Linked DNA regions of Anolis sagrei. The main gene of each other region encodes a partner of the protein of the gene in region 4 in a complex. Links are inferred from orthologs where the notes say so. Each region holds a gene or a part of one and is shown on either strand. Other genes may lie near its edges.

What was found.
Region 1: MED1 (region 4) and MED21 share a complex: the UniProt entries of both Homo sapiens proteins name them as parts of the mediator complex. The link is inferred for Anolis sagrei from reciprocal best matches to the Homo sapiens genes MED1 and MED21.
Region 2: MED1 (region 4) and MED8 share a complex: the UniProt entries of both Homo sapiens proteins name them as parts of the mediator complex. The link is inferred for Anolis sagrei from reciprocal best matches to the Homo sapiens genes MED1 and MED8.
Region 3: MED1 (region 4) and MED7 share a complex: the UniProt entries of both Homo sapiens proteins name them as parts of the mediator complex. The link is inferred for Anolis sagrei from reciprocal best matches to the Homo sapiens genes MED1 and MED7.

Annotation. Positions count from the first base shown.
Region 1 is NC_090025.1:91,890,488-91,897,480, forward strand, and holds the start of MED21 (mediator of RNA polymerase II transcription subunit 21), read left to right. Parts: upstream 1-3,988; 5' UTR 3,989-4,053; coding exon 4,054-4,095; intron 4,096-6,831; coding exon 6,832-6,946; intron 6,947-6,993. UniProt on the Homo sapiens protein: Component of the Mediator complex, a coactivator involved in the regulated transcription of nearly all RNA polymerase II-dependent genes.
Region 2 is NC_090024.1:182,943,202-182,950,774, forward strand, and holds the start of MED8 (mediator of RNA polymerase II transcription subunit 8), read left to right. Parts: upstream 1-4,568; coding exon 4,569-4,691; intron 4,692-7,573. Other genes in the region: KICSTOR complex protein SZT2, read right to left, coding at 4,541-4,588. UniProt on the Homo sapiens protein: Component of the Mediator complex, a coactivator involved in the regulated transcription of nearly all RNA polymerase II-dependent genes.
Region 3 is NC_090022.1:80,580,719-80,587,580, forward strand, and holds the start of MED7 (mediator of RNA polymerase II transcription subunit 7), read left to right. Parts: upstream 1-3,842; 5' UTR 3,843-4,040; intron 4,041-6,862. UniProt on the Homo sapiens protein: Component of the Mediator complex, a coactivator involved in the regulated transcription of nearly all RNA polymerase II-dependent genes.
Region 4 is NC_090026.1:43,431,883-43,438,940, forward strand, and holds the start of MED1 (mediator of RNA polymerase II transcription subunit 1), read left to right. Parts: upstream 1-4,035; 5' UTR 4,036-4,193; coding exon 4,194-4,221; intron 4,222-7,058. UniProt on the Homo sapiens protein: Component of the Mediator complex, a coactivator involved in the regulated transcription of nearly all RNA polymerase II-dependent genes.

The DNA.
Region 1 (6,993 bases), on a different chromosome or scaffold from region 4:
TGGAAGAGACCTCATGGGCCATCCAGTCCAACCCCCTGCCAAGAAGCAGGAATATTGCATTCAAATCACCCCTGACAGATGGTCATCCAGCCTCTGTTTAATAGCTTCCAAAGAAGGAGCCTCCACCACACTCAGAGAGTTCCACTGCTGAACAGCTCTCACAGTCAAGAAGTTCTTCCTCATGTTCAGATGGATCTCCTCTCTTGTAGTTTGAAGCCATTGTTTCGTGTCCTAGTCTCCAGGGAAGCAGAAATCAAGCTTGCTCCCTCCTCCCTATGGCTTCCTCTCACATATTTATACATGGCTATCATATCTCCTCTCAGCCTTCTCTTCTTCAGGCCAAACATGCCCAGCTCCTTAAGCCACTCCTCATAGGGCTTGTTCTCCAGACCCTTGATCATTTTAGTCGCCCTCCTCTGGACACATTCCAGCTGGTCAATATCTCTCTTGAATTGTGGTGCCCAGAATTGGACACAATATTCCAGATGTGGTCTAACCAAAGCAGAATAGAGGGGTAGCATTACTTCCTTAGATCTAGACACTATGCTCCTATTGATGCAGGCCAAAATCCCATTGGCTTTTTTTGCCGCCACATCACATTTTTGGCTCATGTTTAATTTGTTGTCCACGAGGACCCTAAGATCTTTTTCACACGTACTGCTCTCGAACCAGGGATTCTGTTTCTTTGCATTTCGTTTTTCCTGCCAAAGTGGAGTATCTTGCATTTGTCCCCGTTGAATTTCATTTTGTTAGTTTTGGCCCATCTCTCTAATCTGTCAAGATCGTTTTGAATCCTGCTCCTGTCCTCTGGAGTATTGACAATCCCTCCCAATTTGGTGTCGTCTGCAAACTTGATGATCCTGCCTTGTAACCCTTCATCTAAGTCATTAATAAAGATATTGAAGAGGACCGGGCCCAGGACAGAACCCTGCAGCACTGAGTAGCCTTGCAGCTTTAAGTAGCCTTGCAGCTTCAAAGCCTGGCTGATTGCTGCCTGGGGGCAGGGGCGGCTCAACCCATTACGCAAAGTAAGCATTTGCGGGCGGCGGCCAGGTTGTTAACTGGTGCTCCTTACAGGGAGAGGTCCACCCTCCTGTTCAAGGAACTCCATTGGCTGCCGTTCATATTCCGGTCCCAATTCAAGGTGCAGGTGCTTACCTACAAAGCCCTAAACCAGTGTTTCTCAACCTGGGGGTCGGGACCCCTGGGAGGGGTCGGGAGGGGGTGTCAGAGGGGTCCCCGAAGACCATCAGAATATACAATATTTTCTGTTGGTCATGGAGGTTCTGTGTGTGACGTTTGGCCCAATTTTATCATTGGTGGTGTTCAGAATGCTCTTTGATTGTAGGTGAACTATAAATCCCAGCAACTACAACTCTATAATGTCAAGGTCTGTTTTCCCCAAACTCCACCAGGGTTCACATTTGGGCATACTGAGTATTCTATTTTCCCCAAATTCCATCTGTGTTCACATTTGGGCATATGGAGTATTCATGCCAAGTTTGGTCCAGATCCATCATTGTTTGAGTCCACAGTGCTCTCTGGGTGTAGGTGAACTACAACTCCAAAATTCAAGATCATTGCCCACCAAACCCTTGTAGTATTTTCTGTTGGTCATGGGAGTTCTGTATGCCAAGATCGGTTCAATTCCATCGTTGGTGGAGTTCAGAATGCTCTTTGATTGTAGGTGAACTATAAATCCCAGCAACTACAACTCCCAAATGACAAAATCAATCCCCCCAACCTCACCAGGATTCAAATTTGGGCATATTGAGTATTTGTGTCAAATTTGGTCCAGTGAATGAAAGTGCATCCTGCATATCTGATATTTACATTACAATTCGTAAGAGTAGCAAAATTACAGTTATGAAGTAGCAACAAATATAATTTTATGGTTAGGGGTCACCACAACATGAGGAACTGTATTAAGGGGTCACGGCAGTAGGAAGGTTGAGAAAAACTGCCCTAAACGGTTTGGGAACTGCCTACCTGCGTGACCGCGTCTCCATATATGAACCCACACGATCTCTCCGATCATCTGGAGAGGCCCTGCTCACAATTCCACCTGCATCGCAAGCGCTATTGGTGGGGACGAGGGACAGGGCCTTCTCCGTGGTGGCCCCCTGACTCTGGCACTCTCTCCCGAAGGACATCAGACAAGCCCCAATGTTGGCAGTCTTTAGGAAGAGCTTGAAGACATAGCTGTTCCAGTGTGCCTTTCCAGAATAGGAAACTCCTAGCACTTTACTAGAGATTTAAGATTGTCTGCACATCGCACCTATCTCCAAAAAACTATCCATTTCACCTGTCATGCCCAGCATTATTTAAATTTTTAATCATTACATTTGGCCCGGCCTTAGTTTTTGCATCTATGGCAAGCATCCTCAGAGGTGAGGTCTGTTGGAACTAGGCAAAACAGAGAGGAAGCAGGCAGGGACATCTAATTACCTCTCAGCAAAAGTTTGTCCCAGGCACAGTCAGGCCATTGTATGTTAATCAAGGTGGTCAGTTGAAACATTCACACCTAGCTCCAGCAGACAAGAGTCCTTTGTCTCACCCTGGTCATTCCACAGATATATAAACCCTTTTGCCTAGTTCCAACAGACCTCACAACTTCTGAGGATGCTTGCCAAAGATGCAGGCGAAACATCAGGAGAGAATGCCTCTAGACCATGGCCATATAGCCCGAAAAAAACTACAACAACCCAAAGGTTTGTATATATCAGCAATCCAATGTTACACTATCTCAGCCCAAAATGTAGACAATTTGGGCTTTGGGGTATAGCAATTTGGATAAGAGATGCTCAGCTCAAACTGATCAGCTATTTATTTATCGTGTCATCAGCAACCATTGTATTACAATTCTAACAGAGCAAAACAAACACACAGATTAAAAAGAAAAAGGAAAAAAAACACACAGATTTTGCAAATTTGGTATTTGGTTAAATGTCCTTTGACGAGTATCTGGCCACTTGGAGTGCCTCTGGTGTTGCCGCAAGAAGGTCCTCTATTGTGCATGTGGCAGGGCTCAGGGTGCATTGCAGCAGGTGGTCAGTGGTTTGCTCTTCTCCACACTCACATGTCGAGGATTCCACTTTGTAGCCCCATTTCTTAAGATTGGCTCTGCATCTCGTGGTGCCAGAGCGCAGTCTGTTCAGCGCCTTCCAAGTCGCCCAGTCTTCTGAGTGCCCAGGAGGAAGTCTCTCATCTGGTATCACCCATGGATTGAGGTGCTGGGTTTGGGCCTGCCACTTTTGGACTCTCGCTTGCTGGGGTGTTCCAGCGAGTGTCTCTGTAGATCTTGATTTAAGTCGTTGACGTGCTGGCTGATACCCAAACAGGGGATGAGCTGGAGATGTCTCTGCCTTGGTCCTTTCACTATTGGCTGCTACTTCCCGGCAGATGTCAGGTGGTGCAATACCGGCTAAGCAGTGTAATTTCTCCAGTGGTGTAGGGCGCAGACACCCTGTGATAATGCGGCATGTCTCATTAAGAGCCACATCTACTGTTTTAGTGTGGTGAGATGTGTTCCACACTGGGCATGCATACTCAGCAGCAGAGTAGCATAGCGCAAGGGCAGATGTCTTCACTGTGTCTGGTTGTGATCCCCAGGTTGTGCCAGTCAGCTTTCGTATGATGTTGTTTCTAGCGCCCACTTTTTGTTTGATGTTCAGGCAGTGCTTCTTGTAGGTCAGAGCACGATCCAGAGTGACTCCCAGGTATTTGGGTGTGTTGCAATGCTCGGCTACGACTCTGGAAACCAGGGTCTGAATCCGTGCTAGACTGGGTGCCTCACAGGAAGGCAAAGGTAAACACTGGAAAGGCCTGAAGGGACTGCTTTCCCTTGCAAGAAGGAGGTTTTTCCCATCCAACAGAGGGCGCAGTTGAAAGAATCCCATTCGTCACCCACAGAATCAATACTTTACAATCTTCCGGATTGGACCAGCGCGTCACGGCGTTGCTTAGCAACGCCACCTCCCGCCCTTTCCTCGGGATTGGCCGGGAGCTTCCCATTGGCTCTCGCGTGGCTTTGTGTTGGTCGCTGCTTCCAAGATGGCGGATCGCCTCACTCAGCTGCAAGACGCCGTCAATTCGGTGAGTTGACGAGGAGGATGCATGCATGCATGCATGGGCCATTGGTCTTCCCCCTTCTCTGGAAAGTTGGAGTTGTATTTATTTTTATTGGAAGGAGAGAAAAAAAGGCAATTTGCTCTAGGGATGGCTTCTACTAAATAAATCCCTGAGTAGAAATGGCCACTCTCTCGCCCTTTTCTTAGTTCTTACTCTCCTTCAGACCACATTTTGTCAAGCTGTTATTCCATCTCAACTGCTATGGCAGCACTGTATGACATTCTTGGATAGGCAGTGTTGAAGAACTTAGACGTTTTCACCAGAAAGCCTTTGGGTCTCACTGAACTTCAAAACTCTGGGGTTCCACAGGATGTTGCCATGGCAGCTGAAGTGGAGTGAGAGCGCCGTAGCCAGGTAGAGTGACAGGGCCCACAATGAGTTTAGCAAAATACTTACACCATGTCACAAAATTTGAGAATTTTTCTGTTCCTAGTTTGAAAGTGATATTTCTTGTTTAATTGTGCGGTACTTTGAAAGCAGTTGCTCTACTCCAGAAATTTTGTTTTTGTGGCTGACACAAATGATGGCCCCTTCTACACTACCATGTAAAATTTATTTATTTATTATTCGAACTTATATGCCGCCACTCCCCTGGGGCTCAGAGCGGCTTACAAGAATAGGCTAAAATCGAACACAATTTTAAAACAATTTAAAACAATTTAAAAACAGCAATATCAAACATTAAAAGCCTGTCAAAACAGGTATGTCTTACATGCCCTGCGGAAAGCTGGTAAGTCCCGCAAGGCACGGACTTCAGGTGGCAGAGTATTCCAGAGTGATGGTGCCACTGCTGTGAAGGCTCTGTGTCTGGTTGCTGTTAGACGCAAGGTCTTGACACTGGGGACTTCCAATAGATCTTGGTCCTCAGAACAGAGGGATCTCTGGGGTTGGTAGGGGGTGAGGCAGTCCCTCAGGTACATTGGCCCTAGACCATGCAAGGCCTTAAAGGTGAGTACCATCACTTTGAAAGTGATCAGGTGCTCAATTGGTAACCAATGCAGCTGCAGTAAGATTGGTGTTGTGTGGCATCTCATCGGAATTCCCGCAAAAAGCCGAGCAGCTGCATTTTGTACCAACTCGAGCTTCCGGATCATCGACAGAGGAAGGCCAATGTAGAGGGCGTTACAGTAGTCCAATCTTGAGATGACTGTAGCCTGGATCACCATAGCTAGGTCATCCCTAGACAGGTAGGGACAGCCATCTAGCCTGCCGCAGATGAAAAAAGGCAGTTCTGCTAACAGCAGAGACCTGGGCCTCCATGGTCAGCAGAGGGTCCAAAAGGACTCCCAGATTACTTGCTTTGAACAGGATTATATAGCAGTGTAGACTCGGGTCCCTTTCACACAGCTGAATAAAATTCAGATTATTTGCTTTAAACTGGAATATATGGCAGTGTGGACTCAGGCAACCCAGTTCAAAGCAAATATTGTGTGATTTTCTGCCTTCATAGTCTGGGTTTTATGGCTGCATGGAAGGGCCCTCAGGCTCCTTCTAAACTGACGTTTAATCCAGTTCAAATCAAATAATGTGAATTATCTGATTTTATAATCTGGATTATATGGCAGTGTAGAAGCAGCCTAAATTAAATTGATTCAGGTCCCATCTACATAATAATAATAATTATCGTTATGATTGTGTTTATTTATATCCAACCCCTTCTCCAAACAGGACTCGGGGCGGCTTGCAAAAAAGAAAACAGTACAAAAACCAAAGCAAAAATAAAACATAATTCATAAACTGCAATATCAAAAACCTAACAAAAAATAAAATGCAATACAAAAGCCAAGGCAAAAAAAAAACAATACATAAACAGCAGTCTCAAAACCTAACAGATTATCTGCTTCAAACTGAATTACAGTGTTCCCTCACTTATCGCGGGTGTTCCGTTTCAGGGCCAGCCACGATAAGTGAAAATCTGCCCACTCAGCGACAGCCGCCTCCTCCTCACCACTTCCGCTGCTCCCGGCCTCTGATGCTCCTTGGGCACCGTTGATGGCATTGCCAGGCTGGTCTGAGGCCTCAGCCCAGCCCGGCAGTGCCATCAACGGAGCCCAAGGGGCTTCCAAGGCCGGGAGCAGCAGAGGCGGTGAGGAGGAGGCCGCCACCAATGATACTTACAAACTTGATGTAACAAATTGTTCAACTGTATGTGTGTATTCATGATATTTTCCTCCCCCTCCATTTGATAACCTGTTCATCATATCCTCTCCAACAAAGTAGTAGGATATTTGTATTATTTTGGGGGTGTTTAACTGAAATTGAGTGCTTTTTAAAACTTTGTATACATTTTCTGGACACTGTGTAGATATTATCACAAAACCATGGGGTACCAAACCTTTCAAACACTGTGTCTAGTTCAAGTTCCCCTAATAGTAGACCATTATAAGAAACATTGCATTCGAACTGCATTCGAAGACTGATAGATAGTTTTTTCAACCATCAAGAACTTTTAAACCAATATATATATTAATCAAGGAACTCCACTAAAACAAGCCTATAACCTCCCAATTCTCTTTTTTTATCCATATTAGAAAAATCTTGATGCTTAATAAAGGGGCATATAGGAGAAGGCTATGATGATAGCTTTTCAATCCAGTATTTGCATACAAAAAAAGCCTACAACTTTACTTCCGCATGATTGTACATCTGCATTTGTTGTGATGTACTAACGAGTAAGTAATTCTATTTGATTGCTTACAGCTTGCAGATCAGTTTTGTAATGCTATTGGAGTACTTCAGCAGTGTGCCCCACCAGCATCGTTCAGCAGTATACAAACTGCAATAAACAAAGATCAACCTACTAATCCTACAGAAGGCAAGTGAACCTTATTGTTGAATTTGAGAGGAATGGTATAAATCTAG
Region 2 (7,573 bases), on a different chromosome or scaffold from region 4:
ACATACAAAAAGCTACCTTGAATTGAGCATGCTGTCACCTGTAAAGAGGATAAGTATTATGTGCAAACGTCCCTAACGAATAACACTATATATACATTCCTTACAGACATCTCACCCAAAGAAGTAGAACTTTTACTGCAAAGACAAAGCCTAGCGTATGTGGTACAGCTTTTGTAGTGACAAGGAGGGTAAAAATTTGCAATTGAAAAAAAAATGCCCCAATATGCCCCCCAAATGATCTCTGGGGCCCCAGGAAGGCCTCAAAATAAGTTGGGAATGTCCTCATAACCCTAAAGGGTATTTAGGGCCAAACATTTAATGTTTTTGCATCATCAGCAGAAAAATGTGTGTCTATGGCTCCTCCACTTCCTGAGAGGTTGGCTAATGTGTTCCCAGAGTCTGCCATAGTTGCACACCCTTATTTTTACAGAGACGGTAGCTTCATAAAGCTGCACACCAACCAATCTCAAGCAGGTTCTTATTCACCAAAATCGTTTTGTCTTGTTGTTCAACAGGCAACTTGCCTGTAACTCATGGGCCTCCTGCAAACTCTTGGGAAAGATGGGTCTGGTTGAAAACTGACGAGGCTTGTTTATTTGCTTTTTGGTTTAGATAAGGATTCACTCTGTTTTCATTTGGTATCTCTTATCCAAAATACTTGGAACCAGAGCATACTTGGAACCCTTTGTATCCACAGAATCAAACATCCATGCCTTGAAAATATTTCCCACAAAAAAAAATCCACAAAGCAAACCTTAATTTTACCATATTATATAAGGGACATCATTTAACTATGTTATTGTACATGATGAGGTTTGAGAATCAATGGATTTTGGTATCAACAGGGATCCTGGAAACAAACTCTGGCAGATACCAAGGCCCACAGTAATTGTATATACATAATAATTAAACTTCTTGGAGTGCAACCATGTAACCCAAGTCCAAACATGAAATTCACAAATGCTTCATATACACATCATAAAGCATAATCTGAAGGTAATTTTACACCTCAGTGTCACCAAACTCTAGTCCTCCAGTTGTTTTGGCCTTCACCCTGCAGAATTCCTGATGATTGATCAAGGCAGCCGAGGCTTCTGGGAGGTGAAGTCCAAAACTTCTGGAGGAAAACAGCTTGGGGATCACTGTTATACACAAACTTTTATATCACTTTGTGCATGAAGCTACTTTTATATACATTGAATTATCAAAGCTAAAGGTATCACTCTATCAGCCATCCACGTGGGCCATTAGGGGCCATTTCAGGTTTCAGTCACTCAACCCGAACTCAAGTCTGGCACCAGGATCCCCCATTCGTTGCAAACACTCTTTTCCACAAAAAAAAGGAGGGGTCACAATCTTTGCAAAGATGAGATGGATGGCCATCTGTTGGGGGTGCTTTGAATGCAATTTTCCCACTTCTTGGCAGGGAGTTGGACTGGATGGCCCACAAGGTCTTTTCCAACTCTATGATTCTATGATCAGCTTCCAAATGGAGCTTCATAACCTTTGCAAAAGCTCTCATCCAAAAGGGAGATCTCATACATTGTACGAAACCTCCTCTCCAAAACGGGGGTCCCACATCCCTTGCAAAATCTCCCCTCAAACCATGGTTGTGCAACTGATCCAGCAAAGCCAAAAGTGTCACTCCCTCAGCTACCTACATGGGCCATTTCAGAATGTTGGATTTGGGATACTCAACCCATACCCAGGTCTGTCACTTGGGTCCCATGTTCTTTGCAAAGAGCTCCTCTCCAAACCAAGGGTCCCACATGCTTAGAAAGAGCTCCCCTTAAAAATGGTGGTCCCCTCAAATCATATGTGTGCAATTGAACCAATGGGAATGGTGTGTGTGTTGTCTTGGGGGGGGGGGTGTGTAGTTTTTAAATGTAGCTTTACTGTACTTCAATTCTGATTATTAACAATAAAGAAAAAGTTAATTTTTCCAATATTAATATTTATATTCCCATGAATTTGCTCTGTTTGTCTCATATTATGTTTGCTGTTAGCCACTATGTGACCCTATATCTAGAGAAAGGCCGGATAAAAACAAAGTAAATAAATAAGCAAATAGAACAAAGGTGTTATTATATCAGTAAACCACATTGACCATTTTGAAGTATTGTGTACTGGGGATACTCAACCTGCACTCAGGTCTGGCACTAGGGCCCCACACCTTTTACAAGAGCTCCCCGCCAAAACAGGGGTTTCATGCCTTTTACAAAACTTTCACTCCAAAATGGGGACCCCACACTCTTTGCAAGAGCTCTCCTCAAACCATGTTTGTGTGATTGAACCAACAAAGCCAAAGGTGTTGTTCTCTCAATTACCAACATGGATCAGATTACGGTTACTCAATCTTTTCTGCAGTCTGGCACCCCTTCCAGAACTTCCCACAAACCAAGGTTCATGTGATTAAACCAACAAAGCCGAAGATGTCACTATAGGCATCTATACCAGGCAGGGGCAAACTCAGGCCCTTCAGGTGTTTTGGCTGTTAGGAATTGTGGGAGCTGAAGTCCAAAACACCGGGGGGGGGGGGCAAAGTTTGCCCATGCCTGATCTATATTGTAGAATTAATGCAGCTGGACACCACACTTTCACTGCCATGGCTCCAGGCAAAGGAGTCAAGGGAGTTGCGATTTGGTGAAGCACCAGCACTCTTGGCTGGAGCCACGGTAGTGCAATAGCTTAAACCCCTTGTGCTGGTTGAACTGCTGCCCTAAAGGTCAGTGGTTTAAAGGTTCAAATCCCTTTTTTTTGGGTTGTGTCAGAAGTGACTTGAGAAACTGCAAGTCGCTTCTGGTGTGAGAGAATTAGCCATAGAATCATAGAGTTGGAAGAGACCTCATGGGCCATCCAGTCCACCCCCTGCCAAGAAGCAGGAATATTGCATTCAAATCACCCCTGACAGATGACCATCCAGCCTCTGTTTAAAAGCCTCCAAAGAAGGAGCCTCCACCACACTCCGGGGCAGAGAGTTCCACTGCTGAACAGCTCTCATAGTCAGGAAGTTTTTCCACATGTTCAGATGGAATTTCCTTTCCATCTGCAAGGACGTTGCCCAGGGAAGGCCCGGATGTTTTTACCATCCTTATGAGAGGCTTCTCTCATGTCCCCGCATGAGGAGCTGGAGCTGATAGAGGGAGTTCATCCACACTCTCCTTTGATTTGAAACTGCGACCTGTTGGTCTTTGGTCCTACCGGCACAGGAGTTTAACCCACTGAGCCCCAGGGGGCTCCAGTGAGATGGGGTGATCTCCCGCCTGTCAGGTCCAGTTTCCCATGCGGGGACATGAGAGAAGCCTCCCACAGGATGATAACCCATCTAGGAGCCCCCGGTGGCGCAGTGGGTTAAACCCCTGTGCCAACAGGACTGAAGACTGACAGGTCACAGGTTCGAATCCGGGGAGAGGTGGATGAGCACCCTCTATCAGCTCCAGCTTTCCATGCGGGGACATGAGAGAAGCTTCCCACAAGGATGGCAAAACATCAAAACATCCAGGCGTCCCCTGGGCAACGTCCTTGCAGACGGCCAATTCTCTCATACCAGAAGTGACTTGCAGTTTCTCAAGTTGCTCCTGACACAACAAAAAACAAACAAACAAATAACCCATCTAGGCATCCCCTGGGCAATGTCTCTGCTGACAGCCAATTCTCTCACATCAGAAGCAACTTGCAGTTTCTCAAGTCGCTTCTGACATGATTTAAAAAAGAGCATGTTTTGGCAGAGAAGGCAAAGACCTTGTAAAACTACACCTCCCATGATTCCATAGCATTGAGCCCTGGCTGTTAGAAGTACGGTTAGAAGTACATTGTGTACGGTTGTTTTTTGTAATAATTGTGCATTGTAATTGCTTATTGGTAATTTATGGATAATGTGTTAAGTCAATTGTTATATGTTGTATGGAACCACTGCTGTTTCTACTGTTTCTACTGTTTGTGAACCGCTGTGAGTCGCCTTCAGGCTTGAGATACAGCGGTATATAAGCAAAGTAAATAAATAAATAAATAAATAAATAATACAAGTGTTGTCAAACTGCATTAAGTCTAGAGTGTGTGCACCCTTTCTTCTGGAGGATATTGGCTGTGGGATACTCAACCTGCCTTCAGGCGAGGCTCTGGAGTCCCACACTCTTGGCAAGGGCTCCCCTCTTTATTTTTCCACAAAGAGGAGACTCGTCTACTAAAGTTATCACACTCGAGCTGAAGGAGTAGGCAAAGAGTCTGCCTCCCGTTTGGAAATCCCGCGGTTGCCTCCTGCAGAATTCTGGGGCTCGTAGTTTAGGGAAGAGCCTCAGACAGAGAGACCCTGGCTCTCACTCAACTACAGGCCCCAGAATCCTGCAGGAGGCAGCCACAGGGTTTCAGGTGGGAGGCAGACTCTTTGCCCACTCTTTCAACCAGCTCGCCAGGACTGGGAACCACCCTTCACACACGTGTCTGGCTGCACGTGTGTATGCACACCCTGCAAGGCCTGCAAAGCTTCCCTGCCGCCTCCCACCCATTTCGCCCCGAGCGGCGGCAGGGCAAAGAAGAGTACCTCCGCGTCGGGTCTCTCTGAAGCCGCCATGGCTGGCGCCGCCCTCATCCGGGACCTTCGACCTCCTGAAGTCCCGACCCGGAAGAGGAAACAGCCCTGCAAAGGAACTCCCCCCAGGCGCGGGAGGGTTTATATCACCGTCGCCATGCAGGTGAGGCGGGAGCGGAGGCTGGGTTGAGGCTCTTAAGGGAGTGGGGTTGTGCCTGCGTGCATCCACATTGTAGAATTAATGCAGTTCGACACCACTTACAATGTAGTCCTGGGAGTTATAGTGTGTTCACACATCAGCACTCTTTGCCAGAGAGGTGTAAGGCTATGGAATTTGTTGGGAATTTTACCAAGTTTTTCGTCTTCTCTGCTGAAGACTGATGGTGTCTCACCAAACTGTCACTCCCATGACAGCTAAAGTGGACTCAAACTGCACTAATGCTACAGTGTAGGCGCACCCCCCTTTCTCTGATGGTTTAACTATTGGATAATCACAGGTCACATAACCGAATGGAGGATTTTGACCTTTTTTTCATATCAAGAATGATTTGAGAAACTACAAGTCGCTTCTGGTGTGAGAGAATTGGCCATCTGCAAGGATGTTGCTCGGGGACGCCTGGATGTTTTACCATCCTTGTGAGAGGCTTCTCTCATGTCCCCGCATGAAAAGGTGGGAGCTCACCCCTCTTCCTGGATTTGAACCGTCAACCTTTCGGTCAGCAGTCCTGCCAACATAAGGGTTTAACACACTGCACCACTGGGGGCTCTGATTATGACCAATTGGGAAAACCATAAGCTTTATATCTTTTAAGAAAAGACATTGTATCTATGTGTATTTATACTTTGCAATTCAGCTGCTAGACTGATTTCCAGGTGACTCTGAACTATTAGCAACAGAGAATATGCCAATACACAATATATATATTTAGCAGATCTTCAAAGGTGTTGTTTAGTGTTCAAAAGACATCTACTCCCATAAATATCTTGTTTCTATTCCATTCTCTCAGGAGACAAAAATCAAGTAGATTTCTTTAAAATAACATATTTGTTTTACTCACAACCTCATGTATTTAAATATACAGACATGTTTCTTGTTTGTTTAAACTAAAACATTTCAGTTTGTGTCTTTAACTTTCAGTCTTTATCAGTCACTTCAACACTATACAGCTCTGTACAACTCTCCTTTATAACGGTCAACTTCCAACTGTCATCTTCAATGGTCATTCCTCAACTGTCATCTTTTAACTGTGTTCCAAACAGTCCCTGATCTGGTCACATTGTCCACAGCCCCTCCCACAACCTCAAGGACATAGAGTTAGGAAAAAACTGCATACCAAAAACACATAATAATAATAATAATAATAATAATAATAACTACTCCTACTCCTACTACTAGGGAAGTGTTGGATGTGTGATCCAGCACAACAGAGTGATCTTGTTTGCTGTGTACTAATCTTTTTGTGTTTCAAATAATAATAATAATAATAATAATGAAACTGAAATCCAGTCAGAATCTTCAGGACTGACATCAGTATGGAGTTCAGCCTAGACAAATGTGCCGCAATGGCATTAAACAAAGGGAGAATTACTCACAGCAAGGGTATAGAGATGCCAAACGGACAGACTATAAAATGCAATCAGCCTGAAGCCTATAAATATCTGGGCATACTACAGTTGGACAATATCAAGCATGGGCATGTGAAAAATGTGGTCAGCAAAAAATACGTCCAAAGGGTCAGAAAAGTTTTGAAGAGCAAATTAAATGGTGGAAATACAATCAAGGCTATCAACACCTGGGCCATCCCCGTCATCAGATACACTGCTGGAATTGTGAACTGGACACACTCAAAGTTGGATGATCTAGACAGAAAAACAAGAAAACTGCTGACAGTCCACTACTCATTACACCCACGTAATGATGTCGACAGATTTTACCTGCCCAGAAAATCAGGAGGCAGAGGGCTTCTGCAAGTGAAACAAACAGCAGAAGAAGAGAAACATACACTGGCAGATTATGTGAAAGGCAATCAAGAACCAACATTGATGGAAGTCAATGGTAGAAAACTGCTTCAAGTGCAAAAGACAATGAGTGAATACCGCAAAAATACAAGGCAGAGCAGAAGGTAAAACTGGCAAAAGAAGGCTCTCCATGGACAGTTCCTGAGAAAAATTGAGAACCAAATTGACAAAGAAAAAACATGGATGTGGCTTACAAATGGAACTTTGAAAAAGGAGACAGAGGGCCTGATTCTTGCAGCCCAAGAATGGGCAATTAGAACAAATGCTATCAAAGCCAGACTGAAAAGTTGATGACAGACCCCAAGTGTAGACTGGCAGACGAAACAATAGATCACATCCTCAGCTGCTGCAAGAAGATTGCACAGACAGACTACAAGCAGAGGCATAATACCATTGCTCAGATGATTCATTGGAACTTGTGCCACAAATACCATCTGCCTGCAACAAAGAACTGGTGGGATCACAAGCCTGAAAAGCTTACAAAAAATAAACACATCAAACTACTCTGGGACTTCTAAATTCAGACTGACAGAGTTTTGGAGCACAATACTCCTGACCTCACAAATGTGTTTAAAAACCAATTATGGATCGTCGATGTTGCAATCCCAGGCGGCAGCAGGATTGAAGAGAAACAACTGGAAAAACTGACACGATATAAGGATTTAAAGATTGAACTGCAAATACTCTGGCACAAGCCAGTAAAAGTGGTCCCAGTGGTGATCGGCACACTGGGTGCAGTATCTAAAGACCTTGGTCGGCACTTGAACACAATCAGCGCTGACAAAATTACCATCTGTCAGCAGCAAAAGGCCACCCTACTCATATCTGCATGCATTATTTGCCGATACACCACACAGTAGTGGTAGTAGTAGTAAGATGCCTCAGATCCTGACTGATTTAGGAAGTAAAGGAGGGACAGCTCTGGTTAGTACTTGGATAGGAAAGTGCAAATGAATACTGGGTGCTGAGGGCTATATTTTCAGATGAAGTAATTGGCAGACCTCCCTGTGAGTATTCCTTACCGAA
Region 3 (6,862 bases), on a different chromosome or scaffold from region 4:
ATTGTTTCATGCATAGAGGTTTTGCACTTTTTCATCTGAAAGGGGATTTTCAGTGTATTGTCGAAGGCTTTCATGGCTGGAATCCCTGGTTGTTGTAAGTTTTTCGGGCTGTATAGCCATGTTCTAGAAGCATTCTCTCCTGACGTTTCACCTGCAACTATGGCAGGCTTCCTCACAACCTCTGAGGATGCCTGCCATAGTTGCAGGTGAAACGTCAGGAGAGAATGCTTCTAGAACATGGCTAGACTGCCTCAAAAACTTACAACAATACAGAGATTTCCGGTGTTTGTCACCAATTTCCTTTCACAAAACCAAGGGCCCTTCCACACAGCCATACAACCCAGAATATCAAGGCAGATAATTCACAATATCTTATTTAAAGTGGAATATCTGAGTCCACACTGCCATATAATCCAGTTCAGTGTGGAAGGGGGCCAAGAGTCGACCACGGTATCCTTCTGGGACACCTCGCAGGGATGGGTCTTGGAGGAACTGTTTTGCAGTGGCTCCGGTCATTCCTGGAGGGTCGATCTCAGAAGGTGTTGTTGGGGGACACCTGTTCAACCCCACAACCATTGTCTTGTGGGGTTCCTCAGGGCTCAATATTGTCTCCCATGTTGTTTAACATCTACATGAAGCCGCTGGGGGAGATCATCCGGAGTTTCGGGGTACGGTGTCATCTGTACGCGGATGATGTCCAACTCTGTCACTCCTTTCCACCTGCTACTAAGGAGGCTGTCCAGGTCCTGAACCGGTGCTTGGCCGCTGTGACGGTCTGGATGAGGGCGAACAAATTGAAATTGAATCCAGACAAGACAGAGGTACTCCTGGTCAGTCGCAAGGCCGAACAGGGCATAGGGTTACAGCCTGTGTTGGATGGGGCCGCACTCCCCCTGAAGACGCAGGTTTGCAGCTTGGGTGTGATCCTGGACTCATCGCTGAGCCTGGAACCCCAGGTTTCGGCGGTGACCAGGGGAGCATTTGCACAGCTAAAGCTTGTGCGCCAGCTGCGCCCGTACCTTGGGAAGTCTGACTTGGCCACGGTAGTCCACGCTCTGGTTACATCCCGTGTAGACTACTGCAACGCTCTCTACGTGGGGTTGCCTTTGAAGACAGCTCGGAAGCTCCAACTAGTCCAACGCTCGGCAGCCATGATTTTAACAGGAGCGGAGCGCAGGGAGCATACAACCCCCCTGTTGCGCCAACTCCACTGGCTACCGATCTGCTACCGGGCTGAATTCAAAGTGCTGGCGTTGGCCTTTAAAGCCCTAAACGGTTCCGGCCCAAGCTACCTATCTGACCGCATCTCTGCCTATGAACCCACCAGGACTTTGAGATCTTCCGGGGAGACCCTGCTCTCAATCCCGCCTGCTTCTCAAGCTCGGCTGGCGGGGACGAGAGATAGGGCCTTCTCGGTGGTGGCTCCTCAGCTGTGGAACGCCCTTCCTACGGACATTAGACTAGCACCATCTCTAATGGTATTCCGCAAAAAGGTGAAGACCTGGATGTTTGTGCAGGCGTTTGAGTAATTTAGTGCAATCTGGTAATGGAACATAGGAATGGAACAATGGACGACGAACCTGGACTACGCTTGGATGATGAGAAGATTGGGTACGGTTGTTTTTTGTAATAATTGTGCATTGTAATTGCTTATTGTTAATTTATGGATAATGTGTTAAGTCAATTGTTATATGTTGTATGGAACCACTGCTGTTTCTACTGTTTTTACTGTTTGTGAACCGCTGTGAGTCGCCTTCGGGCTTGAGATACAGCGGTATATAAGTAAAGTAAGTAAATAAATAATAATAATAAGAGTCAGATCACTGACAAAGCAGGGAAAACTCACAACCCAATATAAGCTCACTGCTGCTCTCTGCTGCCATAAGAGAGGCATAACAGGAAAAAATATTACTGTACTTTGCAGTAACAAGGCCTTCCTTTCAAAGTATAAATAATATGTAGCATTATAAATTTCCTTGTTCAGGATCTAACTAACTAGTACTAGTACACTACTATAGATTGTCTATGCAATTTAGTCTTCATGCTGTGTTAGAAACAACAGAAAATATCTTCTGATTTTCTATATAGAAATGGGGTGATATAAAGAAAACGAATATTGCATAAAATATAAAGGAGAGAGGTGCATTATGATCTGGCAAGCTTTCATACTAATGTATATTGTTTTAAAATGCATATCTTATGTTTATGGGTTGCTTTATATATGTGTGCTTTGATTGCTGTTGTTTTGTACTGTATTTAGTATGTTGGAAGCTGCTTTGGTAGCTTCCTTCGTGGGAGAAAAGTGGACTATAAAGAAAGCACCATTAAAGCCTTGGCAGACCACGCAAAAAGAATCTGCGAACCCCACCTCCACCAAGATGAACTGAACCACCTCAACTGGGCTCTACAGGCCAATGGATACTCCACCTCAGACACCAGAAGAGCTGCAAGACCAAGAACAAGCCACGAGAGTCAAGATGAAGATCCACCCAGAGGAAAAGTGTTCCTGCCATACATCAAGGGAACCACTGACCGCATAGGGAAGCTGATGAGGAAACACAACATACAAACAATCTACAAACCCACCAAGAAAATCCAACAAATGCTACGTTCAGCAAAGGACAAGAGGGATCCTCTCACCTCTGCAGGAGTCTACAGTATACCATGCAGCTGTGGACAAGTCTACATAGGGACCACCAAACGCAGCGCCCAAACAAGAATCCAAGAACATGAAAGGCACTGCAGACTACTCCAACCAGAGAAATCAGCCATAGCAGAGCACCTGATGAACCAGCCTGGACACAGCATATTATTTGAGAACACAGAAATGCTGGACCACTCTCACAACCACCATGTCAGACTACACAGAGAAGCCATTGAAATCCACAAGCATGTGGACAATTTCAACAGAAAGGAGGAAACCATGAAAATGAACAAAATCTGGCTGCCAGTATTAAAAAACTCTAAAATTACAACAGCAAAACAACAGAGGGGAAACAATCAGGCACATCTAATCACCTCTCAACAAAATATTGCCCCAGGCACTGCCAGGCCATCAAATGCTAATCAAGGTGGTCAGTTGAAACATTCACACCTAGCTCCAACAGACAAAAGTTCTTTGTCCCACCCTGGTCATTCCACAGATATATAAACCCCTTTTTCCTAGTTCCAATAGACCTCACTACCTCTGAGGATGCTTGCCATAGATGCAGGCGAAACGTCAGGAGAGAATGCCTTTAGACCATGGCCATATAGCCCCAAAAAACCTACAACAACCCAGCGATTTATTGTCGGGTTGCTGTGAGTTTTCCAGCCTGTCTGGCCATGTTCCAGAAGCATTCACTCCTGATGTTTCGCCCACATCTATGCCAGACATCCTCAGAGGTTCTGAGGTTAGTTGGAAACTAGGTAGGTGAGGTTTATATATCTGTGGAATAATGTCCAGGGTGGGAGAAAGAACTCTTGTCTGTTTGAGGCAATTGGCCAGCTTGATTAGCTTGATTAGCTTCAAAGCCTGGCTGTTTTCTGCCTGAATTCTTGTCTGCTTGAGGCCGTTAGGAATTGTGGGAGTTGAAGTCCAAAACACCTGGAGGGCTCAAGTTTGCCATACCATACCATATGTGTATGTATTTACACGTGGGGGGAAGGGGAGGGAATCATACTCCAGAGCTCCTGATTGACGTCAGGAGCAGCCAATCAGAGAGAAGATCCTTTTCTTCCCCTGCTTCAGGGCAAATGCTCGCTCGCTTCCCTCCATCTTTGCCTCCGCGCGGCTCTCGCTGACGCCATCCCACGTCAGCCAATAGGAAAATTAGATGGGGGAGGGGCTGTTTGCCGGATGTACGTCACCAGTTGGCGAGGGAAAGGGAGGAAGGAGAGCGCAGGCGTAGGAAGCGGGGCTTCCGGTGGGAGCGCGGGTGTTTGGTGCTCTTGTTCCGTGGGGAAGCCGAAGAGAGGAGAGGGAAGCCGGCCTCGTCCGAATTGGGAGCCCGGGGCGAGCGGAGAGCTCCTCCGCGGGTGGGTGTCGCTGCCCGTCAAGGGTCTGTAAGGCTCATCCGTTTGGGATACGTCTAACACAAGCCTGGGCAAACTTGGGCCCTCCAGGGTGTTTTGGACTCCAGCTCCCACCATTCCTAACAGCCTCAGGCCCCTTCTGAGGCTGTTAGGAATGAGGCTGTTAGGAATGGTGGGAGTTGGAGTCCAAAACCCTGGAGGGCCCAAGTTTGCCCAGGCCTGGTCTGCCACATACATTTCATGCAGTCTGACACCACTTTAACTGCCTTAGTTCAGTGCTATCGAATCCAGGGTGTTGCAGTTTGTTGAGGCACCAGAGGAGGCTAAAGACCTTATGAATCCACATCTCCCATAGCACTGAGCCATTGAAGATAGGGCCCTTCTAGACAGGCTCAATATCTCAGGATCTGATCCCAGGTATTCTGTTTATCCCAGATTATCTGGCAGTGCGGACTTATATAATCCAATACAGGGAGCATACCACCCCCCTGCTGCGTCAGCTCCACTGGCTGCCGGTCCACCTCCGAGCACAATTCAAAGTGCTGGTCTTGGCCTATAAAACCCTATACGGCTCCAGCCCAGCTTACTTATCCAAACGTATCTCTCTCTACGTTCCACCTCATAATTTAAGATCTTCTGGGGAGGCCCTGCTCTCGGTCCCACCAGCGTCTCAAACATGTCTGGTGGGAACAAGGGACAGGGCCTTCTCAGTGGTGACCCCCCGCTTATGGAATTCGCTCCCCAGCAAGATTAGATCGGCGCCCTCCCTCCTTACTTTTAGGGAAAAAACTAAATACGTGGTTTTGGAACCAGGCGTTTGGCTAGTGGGCACAACAGCACTTTAGGCACTGAACTCAGACAATAGGATTGTTTGAAAATTGGAAATGGCTTTATGACCTGTGATTCTGTGATATGTCCTATGTGGTTATGCAATTTTAACTAATATCACTACTTAATTGTTATGTAATGGATTTCATATTGCTGTTTTATATTGTTGTTTTGATACTGTTGGCATTGAATAGTTGCCTGTGTTAGCCGCCCTGAGTCCCCCCTCGGGGGTGAGAAAGGCGGGGTAGAAATGGTCTAAATAAATAATAAATTTAAAGCAGAAAACCTGGGATAATGGGCCTGTCTGGAAGGGCCCTGGGACAACTGTCACTGTCTGGAGCCTGGAGGATGGCAAAGGAGGAGGGGAGGGAGGCCTTGAACCAATCTTGCAAAAAACAAAAACAGCCCGGTGATGGGGTTGCATTAGGGTCGCCAAAAGTTAGAAAGTACTTGAAGGCATACAAAAACAGTGTTTCTCAGGCTAAAGCTCCCTTTATTATTATTATTATTATTATTATTGACACAAAAGCACAGTATGTCACAGCAAACGAGATCTATATGCTGGATTTCGTATCACAAAATCACAAGTCGAACGCTTCCCAAGCGTCTAGGACTGTGTGATGTATTTTCGAATGATGCGCACAGATCCAAGTAAGGTGGCCTATTGCAATTGACAGATCGTGATTTTGTCAATGTTTATTGTTTCCAAATTTCGGCTGAGATCTTTTGGCACAGCACCCAGTGCTCCAATGACTACTGGGACCACCTGTACTGGTTTATGCCAGAGCCTTTGCAGTTTGGTTTTGAGGTCTTGATAGCGGCTGAGTTTTTCCTCAATGCGACTGTCACCCGGTATGGCGACGTCAATAATCCAGACTTTTTTCTTTCCCACAATCATGATGTCTGGTGTATTGTGTTCCAAAACTTTGTCAGTCTGGATTCGAAAGTCCCACAGTATTTTTGCAGGTTCATTTTCCACGACCTTTGCGGGTTTATGATCCCACCAATTCTTTGCTGCTGGCAGGTGGTACTTGTGACATAAGTTCCAGTGAATCATCTGAGCCACAGAGTTGTGTCTTTGTAGTCCGTCTGTGCAATTTTCTTGCAACAGCTGAGGAGATATTATCATTATCATTATTATTATTATTATTATTATTGCATTTATATTTATACCATGCTTTTTCTCTCCACAAGGAGACTCAAAGCAGCTCACGTTGGAAATGTGTTGCCTTGCCATCCTTTCAAAAACTGCAGATGGAGGGGCTCTGCTCACTTAGTGGTGGTCTCAGTGTTGTCATGTATAATGTTTTTGGCGTATTTTTATAAGTTATCCTTTTTATTCATTTATATCCATCTTTCATGGGTCTCAAGGCAGCTAACAATATATATAAGGGTACAAAAACAATTAAGCAATTTATAAACTTAAAGCATTAAAATATTAAAATGCCTTTGTGTCTGTCTGTGCCTTTGGGTCACCTGTTGACTTATGAATTTCATAGAATTTTCTTCTGTCAGGAATACTCTGCCAATTCCTTCCTCTGAAGTACAGGCTACTGCGCCTGGTATTTGTTGGTGGTCTCCCACCCAAGTATTGACCTGAGCTGACACTTAGCTTCAAGGATTGGAGGGGATCTGGTGCATTTGCAGTATGATAAACCCTTCAAAAAAGGCCTTAAAATACATGTTGATGTGATTGTATTTAAACTGTTTCTCCTTCCCTCACTGGAGCTAAAGTCCCAGCATGCATTATTTTGGGGAGAGCCCTTGAATACTATTGAATGCAAACCAAATTGGAGAATTCTCCCACAGAGAAGTTTCACCAATTTATAATGAGTTATTCAAAATACTTTTGTTGTGGTGATTTTTAAATTACTTTTTATTTCGTTCTTTTGTGTTCTGCTTAATTGTATTCTAGTGTTCTAACCTTTAAAAATACATTTCTCTTAATTTGTATTATAAGTTTCATTTTAATTTTAGTATAACATGTATTTATAATACAGATAGAAACGAGCATCTTCCC
Region 4 (7,058 bases):
GCAATGACAGGAAGCTAACTTTCCTTAGCTGGAGATTCCAATCTCAAAATGCTAAGGTCAATGTATGGGTCCCAACTACTCCTGGAGATGGATCCCTCCAAACCGTCTAAAAGGAGGGAAAGTTCCTGGAAGTGGCCCCTTCTCTTCCAACTTCAGACCCCTCTAAGCTGTAGGTCTCCCCAAGAATTGGTATAATGGCTTCTCTAGGGTCTGAAACGCCCCCTCGGCTACCAACTCGAGGCCCTGAGTCCTCACGAGAAGGAAGGCCACAGCTGGCTGCACTTTCTCCTTCAAGGCTGCTGCTTCCAAGTTTCTGAGGGAAAGGAGAGAGTGGTGCCGAGGCCTGGCTGGCCGCGGAGGCGCCGGGGGCCCTCGAGGGGGCCACGAGTCCCCTGCTGAGGAGCCCCCTCCGCCTCTCCCTCCGGCCGAGTCCCTAGCAAGGCCCCCACGCCGGGCCCCCCATCCTCCTTTTCCTCCTCCTCGCCCCCTCTTACTTCCCTCCACGAAACGGCGCCGCTTCCAGGTTGGGGGGAGGGGCGGGAGAGGAAAGTGAGGAGGGGAGAAGGTAAGCCGCCAACTCTCGCGAGAACACGGACAAAATTCGCCGAAGCTTCCTGTAGTAACGCGCGGGGGGCTCTTCTGCTCCGTCTTTCTCGCTCTCTCTTCTCTCTATACCTGCTCCTCCAGATATCGCGAGAGCAAGCGCGCGCAAGCTTGCTCTCCTTCCTGCCTGCCTGCCTACCTTCTGGCGCGCAGGCGCACAAGCCGAGTCTCGCGACGCTGCCCCTCAGGAAGAGAAGGGAAAGCGGAAAACCTCCTCCGCTTTCTCGAAACGGGTTTGACCTCTCGCGGGGCCGAAATCTCACGGGAACTCGTTCGAGCGTTTGAACAAAACTTTTATCTGCATGGGGACAATTGCAGAGGCTCGGCGCTGACTTGGTTGGAGAGGGAAGCTGCCACGTTTCGTTGCAAAATGGGAATTGGAAGTCCAAAATACCCGGAGGGTCCAAGTTTGCCCATGCCTGCTTTAGACGGAAAACACTGACTTTGCAGTGCTTTCCCTCTTGTGGTGACAGATTGGCCTGTCTGTCATGATAAAAAGTACACACAAAAATGTAATAACATGTCTGTAGAATATACCATGCGATGTGCAGGGCTTGATGAATGCAAGGCTGGGGTTAAAATGGCTGGAAGAAACATTAACAAACTTAGATATGCAGATGATACCGCTTTGATGGCAAAAAGTGAGAAACTGAGGAGACTTCTAATCAAGGTGAAAAAAGAAAGCGCAAAAGCTGGGTTGCAATAACACATTAAAAAAAACAAGATTATGGCAACAAGAATGATTGACAACTGGAAAATAGAGGGAGAAAACGAGGTCATGGCAGACTGTATTTCTATGCGCAAAAATTAACTGCAGACGCAGACTGCAGCCAGGAAATCAGGAGATGCTTACTTCTTGGGAGGAGAGCAATGTCCAATCTTGATAAAATAGTGAAGAGTAGAGACATCACACTGGCAACCAAGATCCGCATAGTTAAAGCAATGGTATTCCTCATAATCACCTATGCACGTGAGAGCTGGACCATAGGGAAGGCTGAATTTCCTGAAGTATGGACTGGTTGGATCTTCTCACTGTCCAAGGCACTCTCAGAACTTTCCTCCAACACCACAGTTCAAAAGCATCTATCTTCCTTTGCTTAGCCTTCCCTATGATCCAGCTCTCACATCCGTAGGTGACTAAAGGGAAGACCATTGCTTTAACTATGCAGATCTTGGTTGCCAGTAGGATGTCTCTACTCTTCGCTATTTTATCGAGATTGGACATTGCTCTCTTCCCAAAAAGTAAGTGTCTCCTGATTTCCTGGCTGCAGTCTGCTTTGCAGTAATCTTTGTTAGTGTTTAGAGCGGAAGTATTTGCACAGGCTTGGTAGAAATCATAGACTCTGCAGTTATCTTTGCACCTAAAAATACAAAGTCTGTCACTGCCTCCATGTTTTCTCCCTCTGTTTCCCAGTTGTCAATCATTCTTGTTGCCATAATCTTGGGGTTTTTTTATGTTTAACTGCAACCCAGCATTTGCGCTTTCTTCTTTCACCTTGATTAGAAGTCTCCTCAGCTCCTCCTCGCTTTTGGCCATCAAAGTGGTATCATCTGCATATCTATGGTTGTTAATGTTTCTTCCTGCAATTTTCACCCCAGCCTTGCATTCCTCAAGCCCCGCACATCGCATGATGTGTTCTGCCTACAAGTTGAATAGGTTGGATGAGAGTATACAACCCTGCCATACACCTTTCCCAATCTTGAACCAGTCTGTTGTTCCATGGTCAGTTCTTACTGTTGCTACTTGGTCATTATACAGATTCCTCAGGAGAGAGATAAGGTGATTTGGTATCCCCATACCACCAAGAGCTTGCCACAATTTATTATGATCGACACAAAAGCTTTAGAATAGTCAATAAAACAGAACTCAACCATTATATTGTAATATAAGAAAAAGGAATCTGCGAACCCCACCTCCTTCAAGATGAACTGAACCACCTCAACTGGGCTCTACAGGCCAATGGATACTCCACCTCAGACATCAGAAGAGCTGCAAGACCAAGAACAAGCCACAAGAGTAAAGATGAAGATTCACCCAGAGGAAAAGTGTTCCTGCCATACATCAAGGGAACCACTGACCGCATAGGGAAGCTGATGAGGAAACACAACTTACAAAGTATCTACAGACCCACCAAGAAAATCCAACAAATGCTATGTTCAGCAAAGGACAAGAGGGATCTTTTCACTTCTGCAGGAGTCTACCGTGTACCATGCAGCTGTGGACAAGTCTACATAGGGACCACCAAACGCAGCAGCTCCCAAACACGAATCAAGTAACATGAAAGGCACTGCAGAATACTTCAACCTGCGAAGTCAGCCATAGCAGAGCACTTGATGAACCAACCTGGACACAGCATATTATTTGAGAACACAGAAATGCTGGACCACTCTCACAATCACGATGTCAGACTACACAGAGAAGCCATTGAAATACACAGGCATGTGGACAATTTCAACAGAAAGGAGAAACCATGAAAATGAACAAAATCTGGCTACCAGTATTAAAAAAAACTCTAAAATTACAACAGCACAACAACGGAGAGGAAACAAACAAGGACATCTAATCACCTCTCAACAAAGGTTTGCTCCAGGCACTGTCAGGCCATTATATGCTAATCAAGGTGATCAGTTGAAACATTTACACCTAGCTCCAGCAGACAGGAGTCCTTTGTCCTACCCTGGTCATTCCACAGATATATAAACCCCTTTTTCCTAGTTCCAACAGACCTCACAACCTCTGAGGATGCTTGCCATAGATGCAGGTGAAACCTACAACAACCTATTGTAATATTACATGTAATATTACATGTAATATAAATATATAATTATAATATTGTATTAATGTATTGTCGAAGGCTTTCATGGCCAGAATCACTGGGTTGTTGTAGGTTTTTTCGGGCTATATGGCCATGTTCTAGAGGCATTCTCTCCTGACGTTTCGCCTGCATCTATGGCAAGCATCAGTACCTCTAAGGATGCTTGCCATAGATGCAGGCGAAACGTCAGGAGAGAATGCCTCTAAAACATGGCCATATAGCCCGAAAAAACCTACAACAACCCAATTGTATTATTAGTATTATATTGTTTTACATTATAATATATATTACATGTATATACAATATATTGGATTATTAGTAAAGTACAGGAAATTGCAGCATGAACTGTATTATATGATCCAGGCTTGGGCAAACTTCGGTCCTCCGGGTGTTTTGGACTTTGTCTAAAGCGAAGGAATTGCATTGGACGTTTTCCTGATGGGTGAAAGAGCGTGACCTGTTTTGTTTGTTTATTTTTTTTTTTTCAAGGGAGGTGGAAATGAAAGCCTCGCGAGAAGTGCTTTCTGCCGCTAGATTGGCTGACTTCCCACGCGCCGCGGCTTCTCTCGCGCTTGTTGCTCTCCACCTCCGGTTTCCCCTCCCAAATCCCGCGAGAGCTGGAAATCTCACGCGGACGCCAGTGGGATGGTGCCTTGCGCGCGCCTCGGGTCTTCTCCTCCGAGCGGGAGACGGGCCTTCCTTCCCCGCCGCATGAGGGAGGGCGGAGCGGGGCGCCGGGCCCCTCTCCTTCCCTGCCTGCCGCTCCGGTGAAGGATGAAGGCCGCCCAGGGCGCCTCGGAGGGTGAGTGAGTCACGCCGGCCTGGGAGTGACACCAAGGCCTCAAAGTGGGAGCACTCCCAATAAAGGCTGCGTTCAGAAACCCCACAAAGAGCCTTGTGTGAGCAAAGCTCAGGTGTGCAGGGCCGTACAGGCGAAGTATCTTATATCCCAAATGAGTTCGCCCCACAAGTGTTTGGAATCTCGGATTTTTGAGGCTTGATCTGCACTATTATATAATGCAGCGTGAACCGAATTATATGATCCAGGCATGGGCAAACTTAATCCCTCCGGGTGTTTTGGACTTCAACTCCCGCCCTGCGGTTAGGAATTGTGAAGTTGAAGTCCAAAACACCCGGAGGGCCCAAGTTTGCCCATGCCTGCTTTAGACTGAAGCTTTATCAACTGACTTTGCAATATTTTGCCTCATACGATGTCTTGTCTGTCATAAAAAGTACAAGCAGAAGTTGAATCACATATAAGACTACAAATAAGACTCTCCTGTTTTTCCCAGGAGCTTGGTTCATGCATTCATCTGTCAGTCATTAAGGGATGGACACATTTGTGAATTGGTCCTCTGAGTAGCATTGATCCACAAAGCTGAAACTGTAGATGTGAACATTATACAGAGTGAGGCAGCATAACTTCCCTTTTTCAAGACTTAATAAAACCCATTGTAAGAATCAGAATATTTTTAATATAATGTAGGCGCATACCTAAAGTTTTGTTTTACGTAGTTTTTAAGATCAAATTAGGCAGGTGACGTCCCTCATTCTCCATACACTGAGTAAACCGATTTCTGGCATTTGTCATGACTCTTACCAGCATAGCAGGCGTTATGTTGGCAGTTTCTTCCTGGATGTTGGTCTTCAAATCTTTTAGGGTCCTTGGACAGTTCACATAAACACGGGATTTCAAAAAGCCCCATAAAAAAAATCACAAGGGGCCAATGCAACCTGAGTCCTGCCACATGCACAATGGAGGACCTTCTTGCAGCAACACCAGAAGCACTCCAAGTGGCCAGATACTGGTCAAAGGACATTTAATCAACTACCAAATTCACAAATTTTGTATTTTGTCTGTTTGTTTGTTTGCTTTGTTCTGTTAGAAATGTAATATAATTGCCTGGTTGCTGATGGCTCGATAAATAAACAAGGGGCCAAATCTGGAGAGGAGGCCAGCCACTCCCAAATCCGCTCAAAAAGTAGGCCTCAACAGCAAAAGCACGCTTCTCACTGTTCCAACGCATGATGGCGACTGAACTGTGTCAGGACAAAACTTTATACTCCCGCCTCTCGAACAAGACCCCTAGCGCTCCTCTACGTTTTCAACCGCCTGAATGGCGCGCATTTTAAAAAAGGAAGTTATGTTGCCTCACCCTGTATTTGCTACCACTTCCGGTCCAGTAGACTGCATCAACGACCCAACGGCTGCTCTGGCCAGAGCGAAGACAGAGGGGAGCAGAAGACGTTTCCATCTTGTCTTTACTAATAATCTAATATAGTATATTGTATATACATATAATATTTATAATATTATAATGTAATACAATATAATACTAGTAATAATAATATGATATTATAATTATATATTTACACTAATAATATTACAATATAATGGTATAGTGCAATAAAGTAATATATAATACTGATATTGTACTATGCTAATAATATAATATATTGTATGAAAATATATATTGTAAGCCACTCTGAGTCCCCTTCGAGGTGAGAAGGGCGGCATATAAATGCCGTAAATAAAAAAAATCAAGAATTTCTCCCCTGTCTGGCTTGGGCCTTGTAATCTATCCACCTTTCCCTTTAGTATCCACCTTGACTTGGTCCTCTGCAGATGCTGTTCCATACTAGATCTCTGCTTAATGAGTACTGTACTGTAATTTAGTTTCTGTGAATAGTTAGAAGGCCCTTCCTTTAGACCAGCCATGGGCAAACTTCGGCCCTCTGGATGTTTTGAACTTGAAATCCCAAGCAACTTACTGGCTGTTAAGAATTGTGGAAGTTGAAAACACCTGGAGAACCCAAGTTTGCCCATACCTGCTTTAGACTGAATAGCTGACTTTGCAATGATTTGGAAGTTATGCTGCCTCACCCTGTATGATATTTGGTAGCAGAGATTATGGCACACTCAGGTAGAAACCAGAATAGAAATATCACTCACTCCCCCAAGCACAGGTAAAAGAACCAAACTTAAGTTAAAGTGTAAAGGGATACTTGACACATAGTTTCAGCGTTTTCAGGTATGGTGAAAGTGTCAGGAAAACAAGCATGTCATCAGCTTTGACTGTTTGACTTCAAGAGTATTCATAGCTTCTTTGAGTCTCTGTTAAGAAAGAACAGTGGCATAAAAATAAATGTAATTATACAGGAACACTTGCTCACTATGTGCTTCATAGTGAGGGGTCACGATGAAAAAAGATGAGTGGGCAAACCCATGCTGTTCCTGGGGAGAAAAGTAGTATGCATGGGACTTAGGAAGAAGGGGTGTGAGCAAGCAAACAATCAACATGCTTTTCTAAACATCCATAGGCTATACCAGTGAGTTCAGCATGCTCTGCCCAGAAAGCGGCACAGGACTACAATGAAAGTAAAAAAGCGCAAATAAAGAAATTGTGTTTATTTCAGATAACACCTCTAGAAATTTCTAGGTGTTCCAACATGACTCTATGGGCAACTTCTGTTGGAAGGTAATCATACAATTGGGTTAGGGAACCCAAAAATTTCTAGAGATCTTAATGTATAAAAATTGCTTGGTCCTCCACCATGATTGGAAGAAGTTGACCACAGAGTCACATTGGAGGGTCTAGAGATTCTTAGAACATTTAAATCAAATCAGAAGTCAAAACC